2 linked regions of the Arabidopsis thaliana genome follow. The protein of the gene in region 1 interacts with the protein of each later gene in a biochemical or structural test. Each region holds a gene or a part of one and is shown on either strand. Other genes may lie near its edges.

Region 1 (8,042 bases):
AGTGGTTGGTTTTGGGGTTGCTAAACGCTTTGGAGGTGATGATGATGATTTGAGATGGAAACAAAAGATTATATTCTTAATTGGTAAAGATAAAAATTTCATCAGCATACGGTATATTTTTGAAGAAAAAAAGTTTGAAAGAAAGTTGTGAGACACAAAATTTATAGGAGAATTTTTAAATTTTAAATTTTATTTACTAATTTTAAATTCATTATTTCTTTTAAAATAATGTTTTTTTACCTATCTCGACATAATTGAGTTTTTCTTTGGATCATCAATTAGTAGAGGTAATCGGACCATTTTCCAAGTTGGATTAACGGGTCAGCGAATGTTCAACCTCTGATAGACTGATACTATGTTAAGTTTCATAGATTACTAATTCCAAAACCAATTGACAATAAGTAAAAACTCATATAAATATATATATATATATATATATATATATATATTTATATTAATGAAGTCTAAAGTCGTTTTCACCATCTGAGTTCGAGTAGTATTAGCCACCAAAATTTAAGTAATTTAACATGGTTTTTCCATACTCCATAATCAATTTTTGGGTGTATGAAATTTTTAAAATTATATGAGTTATAAAAAAATAAAGTATCTTTCTCCCTACTATCTTTACTCTAAATACTATTTTAAGATATTACTCGAGTTAATTACATGTTATACCGAAATAATTCATGAACATAACAAGATTACAGTTCATGAAATAAATGGTTTGTCTTTTGTGAAATAAACAATTGGTACTCATGTGTGTTACAAAACAACAATTTTTTTTGGATGGTGTTATAAAACTCGAACCCACCAAACTTGGATAGCCTCTTGTATCTATTTCTCTATTATTTCGGGTAATCTTTACTCATACATAGTAAACAGGCTCTCTGGATTTTTACCTCTCTGAAAAAAACATAAAATGAGTCGGTTTGATTTCGCTAATTAAATACCATTTTCCCTACTAAAAAACGAAACGAAGGCATGAATCATATCAGGCATTGTAATCAACTTACGTGCTTACACTATTTTTATACACACGATAACATACTAACCCCCGATTTCTTAAACGAACAGCATATTTACAACCAAAACAAGAAATAACATAGCAAGCAAAAACCTAGTACATAAGTGAAAAAGAAAACCAGTAAATCAAAGCCAAACCCCATTAGTTTCCACAAAAATTACATTAAAAACAAACCATCGAACTGATGATTTTGGCCAACCTCTCTCTATTCCTTGCCATGTTTTCTAGCTGTGAAAAAATAAATAAATATATAAGTTAATTTCAAGGCAGTAATTAAGTGATGAGATGTATGAAAAAGTTTCGTAAGAATTGTAATCTTACGTGAGAGTGAGAAGGCGTGGGAGGTCTTTAAAACATGCAACCTCTTTACAGTAGATACAAACATCCTAACAAATAAAGTAAACTATATCATTAATATGTCCAATGATTCAAATTATTATCAGATAAATATCCAAAAATATGACCTTTAAAGGAAAATAATAATCTGATGAGAAATGGCCAAACTCTTTTTAGGAACTCATACTAAAAATATTTGTTAAATTCGACAAAAACAAAAGTAGATAGATATAAAATGAATTTTTGATAAAGTAAGTTCATATTCAGTTCCAGAAAAAAAAATGGAATTAGTTTTGTTTGATTTAAAACTTACTCCCAAGGAACATCCCCGACCAGAACTTTATCTCCTTCAGTGTCTTCGTAGACCAAAGTGTATTGTCTGTTTAGATCCCACGAATCTTTCTTAGAGAAGAGTTGGTCAACGGCATGTGAAAGCTGTTGGTAGTTGTTATAAGCTGAAAGGTTGACTTTTCTTCCTATTGGAACTCCTTCCATGTTGATCTTAACGTACAATTCCTTCTCTTCATCACTCTCCTTCTTCTTCATCTCCTCCTTTAGTTGTGCCGTTAGGTTTCTCCGGGATGATCTCACCGGCGGCCATCCCACCACTGGAGCTACCTCAACCCTGTTTTAGCCATATCTAGTTATAACATATACACAAATACTTTTTGATAACTAGATACCGAAACCCAAACTAATCTCCGAAAACTGTAGAATTACCAGGATTTTGTTTTTTATTTTTATTTTATTATCATATAAGACATCTACAATGAACAAGAATGATTCAAATCATTCATGAGAAGAGATTAAGAGAACCTGTTATTGGAAAGGAATGATGTTTCTTTGGTCGAGCTTTTTTGTTTAGATCCATTGATGTTGTTGTTGGAAGTGAATTGGTGACAAGGAGGAGCTAGCCTTAGCTCCAATCTCTTTTCTTCTTCCATTTTTCTAAGTTTGTGTTGTGTTTTTGGTGTTGGGGAGTATTATTATATGGGTGGTTGGCAAGGAACTACAATCCCAATCTTTTTATAAAAGTAGTCTCTTTATATTTTCTAATGAAAAGAGATTTTATTTTGAATTAATAACCACCTAACAGATCCTACTTGTATGGTTTCCGTATGTCAAAAATGCGTTTACATACGTGTATGATTCTACGAATGTGATGCGGATTGATGGGAGACACACATATATTATTTACAACGATTACTATTATATAAAGAGAATAAATTTATATGATGATCATTAGAAAAATCCAATAGACTAATTTAGAGTTATAGGTAGGTGGTTATCAAATTAAAAACCCACTTAGAATATATGGTAACATGGTTCATAGCCGTGTGGGGTCTCATACTACCGAATAACTCTGATTAATTACAAAACATATGATTCCAAAAATCTTAGATGTAATCACCAAATTATTACGCTGTCTAGACGTGTCCATTATCATTCTAATTCGATCCAAAAAGATGTGGGTAACCGAAAATTACCAAAGAACTAAAATGCTACCATAGCACCAAAGTCAAAATGAATATCCAACACATACACATAAACCAATTTAAACAAAGAGATATATAAATAACAGTGATTAGTAATACCCCTTTATTAGCTAGTGACATGAATTAAAATCATATTGAAAAATGAAAATGAATGCTATTCTTACTTAGAAAATGAAAACTATAATCATATAAACTATGTACAATTGCTTCTCTTATGCATGACATTTGTAACACATGTATTTTAGAAAATTCATGTATGTCACCGTGACTCATGAGACAAAGAAATGTATCATGCATGGTTGTGTCATCATGTGATCATCAACATAGTCATCATATGATCATCTCCACACCCATTCTTGGAGAGTAGAGGCCGACATAGAAAAGGAAACAAGAAAGAGGAAAGAGATTCCTAGGCATGCTTAAATGAGTACCTACCAATAAAAGGAGTAAAGTAGTAGGTTTTCGTTTACTAACCTTCTTCTGTTTATTTTTATTTGATATATAAGTACTGCAAATATTAATTGTATGTATACTTAGAATTCCACTACAAATTCTCTCTTTTTTCACGAAAAGTCCACTACCAACTTGGTTTTTGTTACTCTAATTTGGCCTCCATAATGTTTGTCCTTTTTTTCAAGTTACATAATCGATTGATTTACGGAAATTGCCAACCCATGAAAAGTCATCTTAAACATAATCAAGTATAACTTTAGAAATATATCAAGATGGTTTAAGGATCTTTCAACTCAATCTTAAAAAAACTTAATAGCTATGGCATATAATCAAATAAGCTGTAATTTGATTAGTGAAAATAACTAAAATGGGTCAACGCTCAAAATACTACAAATAAAACTGTTGAAATAGACACATAAAATTTGTGGCTATTTCACAGTTTCTTATAGTTGAATTGGTTTATACTTATCTTGTGTCTTTTGTCTAGAAATTTGTGGCAATCTAGAAATTCTCTTTTGTCTTTTGACCTTTTTTCATGGGTCATCACCTATTTGTTTTATTCTTTTTAACTCGGGGCAAAACAATTTCTTCAGCCGATTTATATTAATTAACCGAGAGTCCGAGACCAATATACCATGACTAATCATCACACTAATAATGACAGAGCTTATAGTGTAATTTTTACTTGATTCTGACCCTGCACATACGTGTATATAAATATAATGGAATACATTTTTAGTTAAAAATATTATAGTGTATAAATTATAATATGCATAGAACAGTGTACAGTGTTAATTATGATAAAATAGCTAACTTTTTTTATTAATTTATATTATTTATATTTTATTTATATTTTGCATGGTAAATATATTGTTAGATTTGTTTGGATTTGCTGAATATATAGAGATATTTGGAAAATCTGTGTATTTTTGTTAGTTTGATGTATATATAAATTGATTGTTTTTGTTTGAAATTTGATCAATTAGATGATATAATGTAAATTTAACTCCGCGGTACACCGTTGGTCGATTTTTTGTAACTAAAAATTCAAATTTTAAGATATAGTTGTTTTGTAAATATTGTTTATTTTGTTTAGTGTTTAAGATTATATAATTATGTTATAGTTATTAATTCTAAGATTTTACTCGTAGATTATCGTCCCGTATTAATATCAACCCAAACTCGTTCCACCATATAACTTCATTCCGTAAAATGAAAATCATTTTGTTATTTTTAAATATTGTTATTCTAATATATATAAAAATCGACGGATCGACATGTGGTACATCTTGGATTAATATATTTAAAAATAATTTGTGATTTACAAATTTATGATATTGTAGTATATAAAACCAATTTTTAGTGTATACCTTTCAATAAGATGTAGTTTTTATAATTAAAGTATAATAGTATTTGGTCTTTATGTTAAATAATAGTATTTGGTTTTTTTATAAACTATTAAATTAGTTGATTTTAGTTAAAAATAAAAAATTAAATTAAGTTATATTTGTTTTGTTTATTGTTTAAGATTGTATAACTATAATCTAGTTTCTTATAATCTAGTGTTGACCCTGAAACAAAAATCCATAAGAATACGCATAGATGGATAGTAATATTAGAAGATAAACATCATTAGAATATGAAGTACTTTACTTATGAATCTCTATATATTGTTTTAAAGAATCGATATTCTAGATTGATTGTGAGGCAATGTGAATGTATGCATAACATTTATAATTATAAGAGATGGATTGTACGGAAAATTAGATTTTAATTTGGATTCAATCTTAGCTTTACTGAATAAACTAATCTGAATTGCGTTTTTTTTCAATCTAAAATTTACTATAATCTCAACAATTTTGGTATTTTTTGATCAAACTTATCCTTATGCATTATCGCAAATATGGTAGTTATTATTGTTCGAATACAATTATTGATCTGTCAAAATAATCATATTACTATTTGTTCTTAAAAAAAAGTCATTCAAATTTAAAAGAAAAAATATTTTTGGTGTGAATCAATATTTTCTCATTTTGAATATTTGCATTAAAAATTTTAAACATTGGTATTTTAAACTCTGTTTTATTGTTTAAAAAAAAATCAAATCTAGAAGAATGAATATTCTAAAAGCTTGTATCTATTATAATACGTTTAAAAATATATTTTCTTTCATATAATTCAAATTTAGCTTAGCGATATATTTTTAAAATAATGAAAATTACATGTTTAAAAAAATCCTTTAAAAGTTTATATCATTTAAATTCTAATTAAAATGTTAAATATTTGAATCTATACTGATAATATCTTCTAGATATTTACAAATCTAAAATCCAAAAATTATCTTTTGAATATGCTAAATCATAACTAAAATCGTATTTTTATGTGTACTAATGAGAAACAATTAACATAGTTTTGTTAAAGAAATTGTTTAAAATCTAAACTAAATGATAATTTGTTATTAAATTAGATTAAAGTTTCCGAATTATCTAATAACATATTACCAAAATAAATAAATTTTCATATATACAATTCGAATTAAAATAGCCTGATATGTTATGGAAATGTTTTTAAATGATTTCCAAAAATATCGGGTAGTTATGAATTTATTGATTTTAAATTCAATTTTTTAAAAGAACAAAATCCAAGATATTTATTTAGTTGTTGTAGTTGTTAATTTACTAAATTACCTATGCAAAGATTCATTTAGTTAATTTTAAACTACTCTTAGAATGTTGTAGTTCATACAATGCTTTCCAATTAATAATATAGATTAGTTTGTTGTCTTGTTATAACTCGAATTTAGTTTAGAAATATGTGTGTTACTTTGTTAACAACATAAAATAATTTATATGATGCGTAGGTTAATGCTAACTAATCTGAGAAACTAAATTTATCTATGCTCAATCATACATTATCTAATAATTTTAGAAAAATATATGTACGAATCAATATATAATATATTTCAAAACATTTTGGTAGAAATAATGTATAAATAATACAAATTTTCAAATTAAGAGTTATATAAATTTTATCAGCTTTTTGTTAGCTAAACAATATAAAAAGAATTTTAAACATCTAAAATCCAATTAACTTAAACATTTTATCAACGTAATTTTAGACGGATAAATCTCTATATTGTTATTTTTATAGCAAAACAAATAAAAATAAAAATAAAAATAAAATGGCAAATAATATGTTCCAAAAGAAGAAGTTATGATGAACATCTTGGTACTAAACTACTAATACTCGGTACACATTTAGGCATGCCTCTCATTTTGAAAGAAAAAGGTTAAGAACCAGTATAGATGTTCAATGAATGTATAACCATTCTAACAAAAAGAAATCAAACAATCATCATTATCATAAATAACTTTGCTACTAATAGAGGGCCACCACTTGCAAATTTACCTTTTTATCTACCAATTTATTGTTATTTATTTATCTTTTCTTGACTTTTAAGATTAATGATGGATGGGATCATTGACTTTGCAATGATTATAATTTTAGGCCCAAAATCACTTCAAATATTCTCTTTTACACTCCTTTGCGCTTTATTCTTTTCCCTTTTAATATATTTTTTGAATAAATACTTTTTAATATATTATAAAGATATATAAGACTTTATATTAATTATGGAGATTATTACGGATTTTGTCATTTTCCTTACAAAATTTACGAATTTGCCAGTTTTATTATTTGAATAGTTTAAATTTACGATTTGTTTTTGCTAAAATACATACTTTATAACAAATACTAAATTTTAAAAACAAAAGTAACCAACTAAACTCAAACATCACATGTGAAACGCTTTGTCAATCCTATTTTTATAGCTTAAAGACAAATCCACAAAATTTTAGTGAAAGTGGCAAATTCACAAATGATACTCCAAACAATGACAAATTTTATCATTTTTCTAAATCTATTTTTTCTTTTCATTAACTGTATTATTTCCCCCATTATTTCGTCTCATTTGTGTTCCACTGCAGATTTACCTAAATTAAATTTATTTAATGTCCGGAAAACGCCATAACCTAACACGCGTACGGCAAAGAAATGAGTAATGGATTATTTCACAATTCATAAAAGTTAATAAGGTTTCATTATTTAAAGTTAAAGCAAAAGTATAAATAGTTTAGAAGTTGTCGTATATAGAAAGCACCAAAACTGAAAAGCAAAAAGTAAAAAGCTGAGCCAAAAATGTTAAAAAGAATGTTTTAACGGAAGTTTCTGTAGACAGGACTGTACATGCAGCTCTCTGCCATCTTTACGAGGTCCTTAGGACGAGGCAGATTCGATGCCAGTCCTGCAAAACCAACAACAACAACAACAACAACAACAACAACAACAACATGTACATGACATAAGATTTTTGCCATGGAGATTTTTTTTTTTGGACTGATCCTATTTTTAATATGATCAAAAAACAAGAATTATGAAACTAACCGAGTTCGTAGGTTTTGGCTCCCACACTGGCTGCAATGTTAGCAGAGATCTTTCTGATGTTTGCAAAAGGCGGATAGATCAGTCCGTTCGCAAAATTCTCTTCCGTCACTTGGGAGGCCAGCGCTTCCGCTGATAGAACAAATAGTTTAAAAACACAAATGGTCTTAATAGTAATAGTGAAATTTTTCGTGACAAATGATCTAGATAATGTTTCGTGATTATTGGCGGATTTTTAATTGACTAATAAGCGAAATAAATGAAAGACTATGAACCGGAATAACAAAAAAAAT
Region 2 (7,054 bases), about 11 Mb from region 1:
AAATGCTTCCCAAATGGTAGTGGCTAATATCACCGTCCAACTGAAGTTGAACAGAAGAAGACATATTCTATGTAAGGGACAAATGCATGTAACCAACAAACTAAGACAATATCTTATTTATTTATGTAATAGTATATGGAAGGAGAGGGAATGGAGATGGAAAGTTGGATGAATGGTGACCGTAGGATGATAAAGGATGAAATGATGGGAGCATAAAAAACATTGGGGTTAAGTGGTTTAATGAGTAGGTAAGATGATCACATCAATCCTAATATCTAAGCCCCCTTTTTCCAAATTATCTCTAATCCACCACCATCATATGTTTTTGTCACCATCCTCTGCATTATTTCAGTTTTGGTTATGACCTTTAAGAAATAAATGATGGGTCTCTTGTCAGTTGAAAATATGTAGTCTTTTGGGGACAAAGATGGCTTGTCAACAAAAGGCAAAAGGAGAGGTCTTCCTTTGGATAAGAACCTTAGCTCATATCTCTCCACCACCACACTTTCCCTCACCCTACATTTTAGTTACGCGTACCACATTTTAACCGAACGAAGCCAAATAATCGAATCGAATCAAAATGATCTTTTCTTGAAGTTACATTATAGTTTGCTGACAAATGACATAATTTAAACAGATTAAGATGAAATATCTCAAAATTAATTAAAAATGGGAAAGACAAAAGAGAGAGATGTCTCATTAGTTTCTCAACAACAACAACTAGAGAGAGCCAAAAGTGCAGCTTATTAGAACCAACTCAGCTGTCTAACTAACACCGATGCTCCCAAAACATACATCCACTGTTCCACCTAACCACCCAAATAACATCTTTTGAACCCAAAAATAAAAAAAGAAAATAATGATACAACAATCTTGCATTCCTCCCAAGTCCCAACCACCATCATTCATCATCAACAATCATGTAGTGTGCCTCTGATGCCACCACCATCATCATCTGAGCTTCCTACACTTACCCATTTCATTCCCGTCTTAAAAAACGGAAACACGGAAATGCTCCTCGTTCTATAAAATCGTGACGAACTTTGGTGCATCATTCCTTGGACCATCAAGAGACCGATACATGTATAAAGTCTCGACATAATCCCTATTGTCATCATCATCATCCGATCCAATTACTTCCACAACTAGATTCGGCATTGCTCGTGCAATATCCTTGCAGCATCCCTTAGACAAGCTACATGCTGACATCCAAACAAACCTCATGTTGTAATAGCGATGCATACCAGACCGTAATGCAACATCTCCAAAGGGACTGTCCCTTATCTCAAGTTTCTGCAGTCTAGGGCAACCTTCTAGGACATGTCTCAGAGCCATGTCACTGTCCCCTGCAAAAGCTACTGAAAGCGTACGGACCAATTTCCCATACTCACCCATATACCTAAAAGCTTGATCTGTCAGCAATCCCGACACTGCAAGGCGAGTTAGCTTCTTGCAGTTTTTAACAATGGCACCAAATCCCTCGTCCATAGGCTTTCCTGTTACATGGTCAGGCCTATGTCGACCCATTATGCACAGCCTAAACACAGTAAGCTCTGGACAGTTCTCTGACATGGCTATCACAGCGGCATTAGTCATGCGCTGGCAAAAGTAGAGAATAGATTCTAGTTTCCTACAACCCTCGGAGATTGCTTGGAGGCCTAATTCAGAGACAGGACCTTCACTGTCTTCCCGAGGATCAAAAGGGAAGATCCTGAGTTCACGGAGTTCCTTGCAAGTGGCTGCAACTGCCTGTAGTCCTTCATCACATATTGAATCAAGGGCCTGCATTGTAAAGTTCAAGTCATGCATTTTACTCAAGTTCCTTACACAACTAATATCAAGTTTATTCATTCTATCCATCTAACACAAACAATACGGTCACTAGAGTTAAGTCACATATAACTTAATAAAGCCATGAAGACATAGATCAAGAAGGATACATACCCAGAACACCTGGAGTTTGTGGCAATTGAGTATGATGGGCTTGAACATGTCAGGAGAAATGTTAGCATAACTGAAGTTCAGGGAGGTGAGATTAGCGCACACCGGAAAGATAGCTGGAAGATACTCCGGCATCAACTCTCTAAACCCTGACAAGCAAACTACAGATTTACAAGCACGAAATGCAGCAGCATAATCTGGTTCTTGCTCACTCTGAGGTTCCTCATCATGGCTAAATGAACCAGTCCCAAGACTAGTAAGCTGTGGAGCTCCAAGTAGCAGACGATGTAGCTCCACAAGAGACACAAACCTGTTTAGCCTAAGTTTCTTCAAGAACGGTGACCTAGCAACAAGACCCTCAAGCGCCTTAAAATTGATAGGAGCTTCCACACAGTCAAAAGCTAAAGACTCCAAACAAGTTACATCCTCAGGGAAACAAGAGATCCAATCCACTTCATCATCCGTGACCTCAGACTCAATCAAATCAAGCACTTTCAGCTTTCTGAAAACAAATTAATATCCAATAAGTTCATAACTATCAAAACATTACTCAAAGATAGCATTTTCATATCCAATAAGTTGTAACATTTACCTGCACTTGTTGGCAACAATAGAGATACCACTAGTACCAAAACCTTCACAACAAACCAAGATAAGCTCTTTAAACCCAGGAAAAGAGTCAGCAAGAAGAGCTAAATCATCATCAGTAACAAACATCCTCTTCAAATCAACTTTCTCAAGACAAGGATAAGCTTGAGCCATAGTAGAAACCCAAGGAGCAAAATTAGCACCCCAATCAGGAGGCATGAGATTGAAATCAGCAAACCTAGGTTTCCCTTTCAGCACAAGAGACCTAACACGCTTGAATCTCTGAGTCAACCTCGCCGGAGAAAGAGCGTAACAGTTACCAATAAAAACCTCAGATCGAGTCAAAGCTTCAACACGCCACCAAGATTTGCAAACTAGAGAAGCAGCGTTACGGTCACATCTTGAATCTAGGAACTGAAGAACGTTCTCAAGTACGTTTTCGAGAACATGGTCAGGGAAAGTTTGAGAATTTGAGATACAGTTACGAGATTTGTTTGGTGAAGAGGAAGATGAGCAAGGATCAGCTATGGCGGTAGAGGGTAGATCCAACGGTGGAGATTGTTGGTCATCGTCATCTTCAGACATTTCTGAGCGATCTTGTGTCATAAAGAGAGAGGCTTTGGATTCAGATTAGAGAAGAGGAAGAGGAAGAAGAGGAAGAAGAAGAAGAAGCTTTGGGGTGTGAGAGAGTGGGAGCTTTCTCTCTCCACTTCGTCTCCATTATTTGGGGATTATTTTTTATTTTTAATTTTCTGTTTTGTCTTCTTATATTTATGTACAAAAATAATTAATATTCATGTTTTTTTTTTCTTACTAGAAAGTAAAATGTAACTCTTTTTTTCTGCTTTCTTGTCTCCATCAATGTTTTTACACTTTACAGTTTCGTCCTCTTTATTTTCTTCAGATCTCTATTTTAGCAATGTTTTAATTAGAAAACAATAAAATCAACATTATCCATTTCTATAGTGTAGGACACTTGCCTACCCTTTTTTCGAGATAAGTTGAGAATTTAACCATATTGGTTAGGGTAATTTTTTTTGTCTTAAACCAAATCACTAAGCATAGATAATATGAACAAATTGGTTGGGATCATTTCAAGTAACCTCCTACGAATTATATGTATAGACCCGCATAAATGATTTCGAACTAGTGCACTTTTTTGGATTCTAACATTTTTGATCCGTAGATTATTATTAAGTAACTCACAATAGTTTATAACTTCTTATACCTTAACCTAAGGTGGTAAGTGGTAACCGATTTAGCTAATGACGTCTTTAAATTTTATCAGTCAAAAATGTATTTATATATGTGCCACAAACAAGCACATATTATTCTACCAATCAAACAAAACAAATACAGTATAACACAACTAAATACAAAACCCATTCATCATTGAGGCTCTGTTTTTTGTGTGCAAATACTCATCGTTGTGGCTAACCATCTGTTTTAGACTTTTAGTTATCGTTAACTTCCTATCAACTAGTTATATGCAACCAAAGAAGTGTTTAAATGGACGACAGAGAATGAAGCACATGAACCCCTACTTATCTTCAAAAGTATATCATAAGAGTTTCAACGTCAAATCTAGCATTACAAATTTTTGTAGGAAATTTTTTTTGTTATAGAATTAGAATCGAAAAGCCTCCAAAACTCACAAAATTTTCTCTTTTAATCATTTGTATTAAAACAGAGCATACATACTCTAGTTCTAAATTTGGCAAAACGAGTATCATCTTTAATGCAAAACATCTAAACATAGAAGAAACATCACATTAATATTTCTAAAATGTTACTTAACACTTTGGGTTATAATATCTAGTTGCGTTTTATAGTCTCCTCACCGAATATGCACATAAAACCTAGCTAGATAAGGTGTGTCCTCCTAAGGGACACAAAACTAGCAAAACAGCATTCCATAAAGTTTGGAAGGATTTTTTTTCAGACAGAAGGGAAATATTTGTTGAGGTTGAACGGAAGAGCATAGAACTCTTCTGTTCTCGGGTCGTTCTTGAAAGTCCAGAATCTGTCCCACCAGTGTTTACCTCGGTCTTTCCTGATCGAACCATCTTTCTTGTGAAGCGTCGTGTCCAACAAGTAAGCCACACATCCTCCCACAAAGGCCTTGGACGAGAAGGGCACATTGACCATGTCGTTGAACCATCTTGCCCCGGTATGAACTGGACCATAGCCTTTGATGGCTGTGTGCTCGTTGAAATATTGTGGAATTGATAGGCCTAGGAAGATTGAGAAGCCCAGTATGAATAATGTCCTGAAGCTATTCAGGTTGCAGAATTGCAGCAAACTCAGTCCTCCAGCACCTATACAACAGTTTTTGTATTAAAGATGCTCATAGCTAAAACAAGTCTCTAGCTCTATATGTTGGTAAGCAAACCAATCTGAACCAAATTGCTTCAATCTAAACCAAGCTAAAAAAGAAACAATACTTACCTACATACGCAAAGAAGAGACAGTACAAGGCAGCTATGATAGGAGAAGGTATGGATGCAAATACTGCCCCGAACTTCCCTGCATTAGTTTTATTTAAGACGATTACTTAACGTAGTCCACTTCAATTCTTAATGAATTTTTGTGAGAGAGACAAGCTTACCAAGAATTGAGAAGAATATCATAAAGCCTGCAGATATTTGAACAACTCTCCTGCTACCAATTTTTGTTAGTGCCAGCAGACCCGCATTCTCGCTGCATTCATGTGAAAACAAACTCACCACACCATTCAAAATCAGCTCATGTCCTAGATTTGGGAAAAGGATAGGAGGTCTTACACAGAAACTGAAGACCCTATACCAGTTCCGAACAACCCTGAGATTAAAATTGCAACTCCCTAAACCAGAAGAGAACATAGTTGAGGCACAACGTTAGATAAATGGCCACTTGCTTGCCCCGAGAAAACCTCGAGATGGTATTTGTAAAATGAAGCTTATGAAGTGAGTATTTACCTGCCAACCAACCCCGCGGCTGATAACAGAAGGTGGCGGCATTGTGGCACTAGCATATCTTGAGACGGCAATAAAAGCACCTGTGGACTGTTTTTTGTTGACAAACAAGTCAACATAATGAGTAAGCAAGATGAGATTAAACCAAAGAGCAAGAAAATTCGAAAGAATGAAGAGAGAGTCTCATTGACTTTAAAAGTTAATGAGTATGCAACCTATGAAATTCATCTATTAAGGACAGCCTTTCTATATAAATGGATATGAAAATCTATGCATATCATAAATAATTGTCTAATGTCATTTAAAAAAGGTGAAGATGAGTGAAACAAACCTCAACAAGAGCAACAAAAGAAGCCATCATCATGGCAAATGCTTCACCAGCATCAAACAATGGTGCTCCCCATTGGAAAGGCCACGGAACTCTTATCCTGCACAATTAATAAGCGTAAAATGCTAAGCCACACTTGTATTCACTGACAGGTCATTAAAGAAAATACTTTTTTGCTAACATAACTCAGCGAGACATTCAATGTTCAAGCCTTGTTCTGAAATTCTTACCATGGAGCAGCACTTATAAGCCCAGCGCGATCAGTCCGACAGCTTCTTTGAGTATCTGTCCCAACACCATTATAGGCACCACCAAGTGTAAGAAAGAAAGCATAAAGCCATACTATCGCCACAGAAAATATGACAGCAAAGCGAGCAAACACATGTTTTCCTCCTTTTATAACATGGGGCATGTACTACAAAACCAGCAAAAAGTATGACCCAGATGATTAGAAACATCAACATACTGGAAGAACACATCCGGATCAATAACTTATGCAATGAGAACAGATGAGCCGGCTGCAAATTGCTACCAGTTATGAATCTTTACCTACAATTACCTGTGATATTAGTATGAGAATAATAAGCCCAGGCAGTCCAATCTCAATACACTTAGCAACCTGGCCAAAATAACAAAGAATCAAGATTCCACTAGGTTGATATAATTTAGTTTATCTGTTCCCATTTACAGAACAAAGAGACTTACACCGGGAAAACCTAACTCGTACAGGCCATAACCAACTAATCCAACCAAAGGAGCAGCAGATAGTGGACTTAAGAACCTGGACGAACAGAAGTTCAATATCATATTCTTTAACCTGACACAGTGGAACAAGATTTGAGTCTAATGTAGCTCAAAGACTGACCTTACAACATTACGCCAAAGGCCACTGAAGCCAAGGATAATTTGAAGAGTTGAAGCAACAATAAGAGCACCTTGGGTTGCCCGAATTATCCTCTTAAATCGCTGATAAGGTATCAAAAAGGTAATTTAGAGTAAAACTTCATATTCAAGCATAACTTTATTGATAGTGATAGTACACTAAATAGATAATAACACAATTCAATTAGGGGATAAGTGTGAGCTACGAACCTCAACTGGATCTGCAACGTCATTGAATCTCCCAGAAAGCATGATTGAGATAGTAACCGGGACAAATGTATAAGATGCTCCAATAACAGCAGGTAATCTAGTTCCAAACACAGTTTGGAGCAGTGTGTTCAATCCAGCTACAAACAATATT

What was found.
Region 2: the proteins of IAA28 (region 1) and AFB5 form a complex in vitro, tested with the Arabidopsis thaliana proteins (one study listed by BioGRID).

What each region holds. Positions count from the first base shown.
Region 1 is NC_003076.8:9,027,742-9,035,783, reverse strand, and holds IAA28 (indole-3-acetic acid inducible 28), read right to left. Parts: upstream 2,581-8,042; 5' UTR 2,305-2,580; coding exon 2,177-2,304; intron 1,986-2,176; coding exon 1,674-1,985; intron 1,411-1,673; coding exon 1,346-1,410; intron 1,253-1,345; coding exon 1,230-1,252; 3' UTR 644-1,229; downstream 1-643. Other genes in the region: NADP-ME3 (NADP-malic enzyme 3), read right to left, coding at 7,524-7,612, 7,753-7,881. UniProt on the Arabidopsis thaliana protein: Aux/IAA proteins are short-lived transcriptional factors that function as repressors of early auxin response genes at low auxin concentrations.
Region 2 is NC_003076.8:20,333,397-20,340,450, forward strand, and holds AFB5 (auxin F-box protein 5), read right to left. Parts: upstream 3,276-7,054; 5' UTR 3,136-3,275; coding exon 2,534-3,135; intron 2,444-2,533; coding exon 1,945-2,443; intron 1,783-1,944; coding exon 1,024-1,782; 3' UTR 501-1,023; downstream 1-500. Other genes in the region: AT5G49990 (Xanthine/uracil permease family protein), read right to left, coding at 4,468-4,847, 4,978-5,055, 5,138-5,229, 5,313-5,371, 5,487-5,573, 5,815-5,911, 6,042-6,226, 6,371-6,430 and 3 more.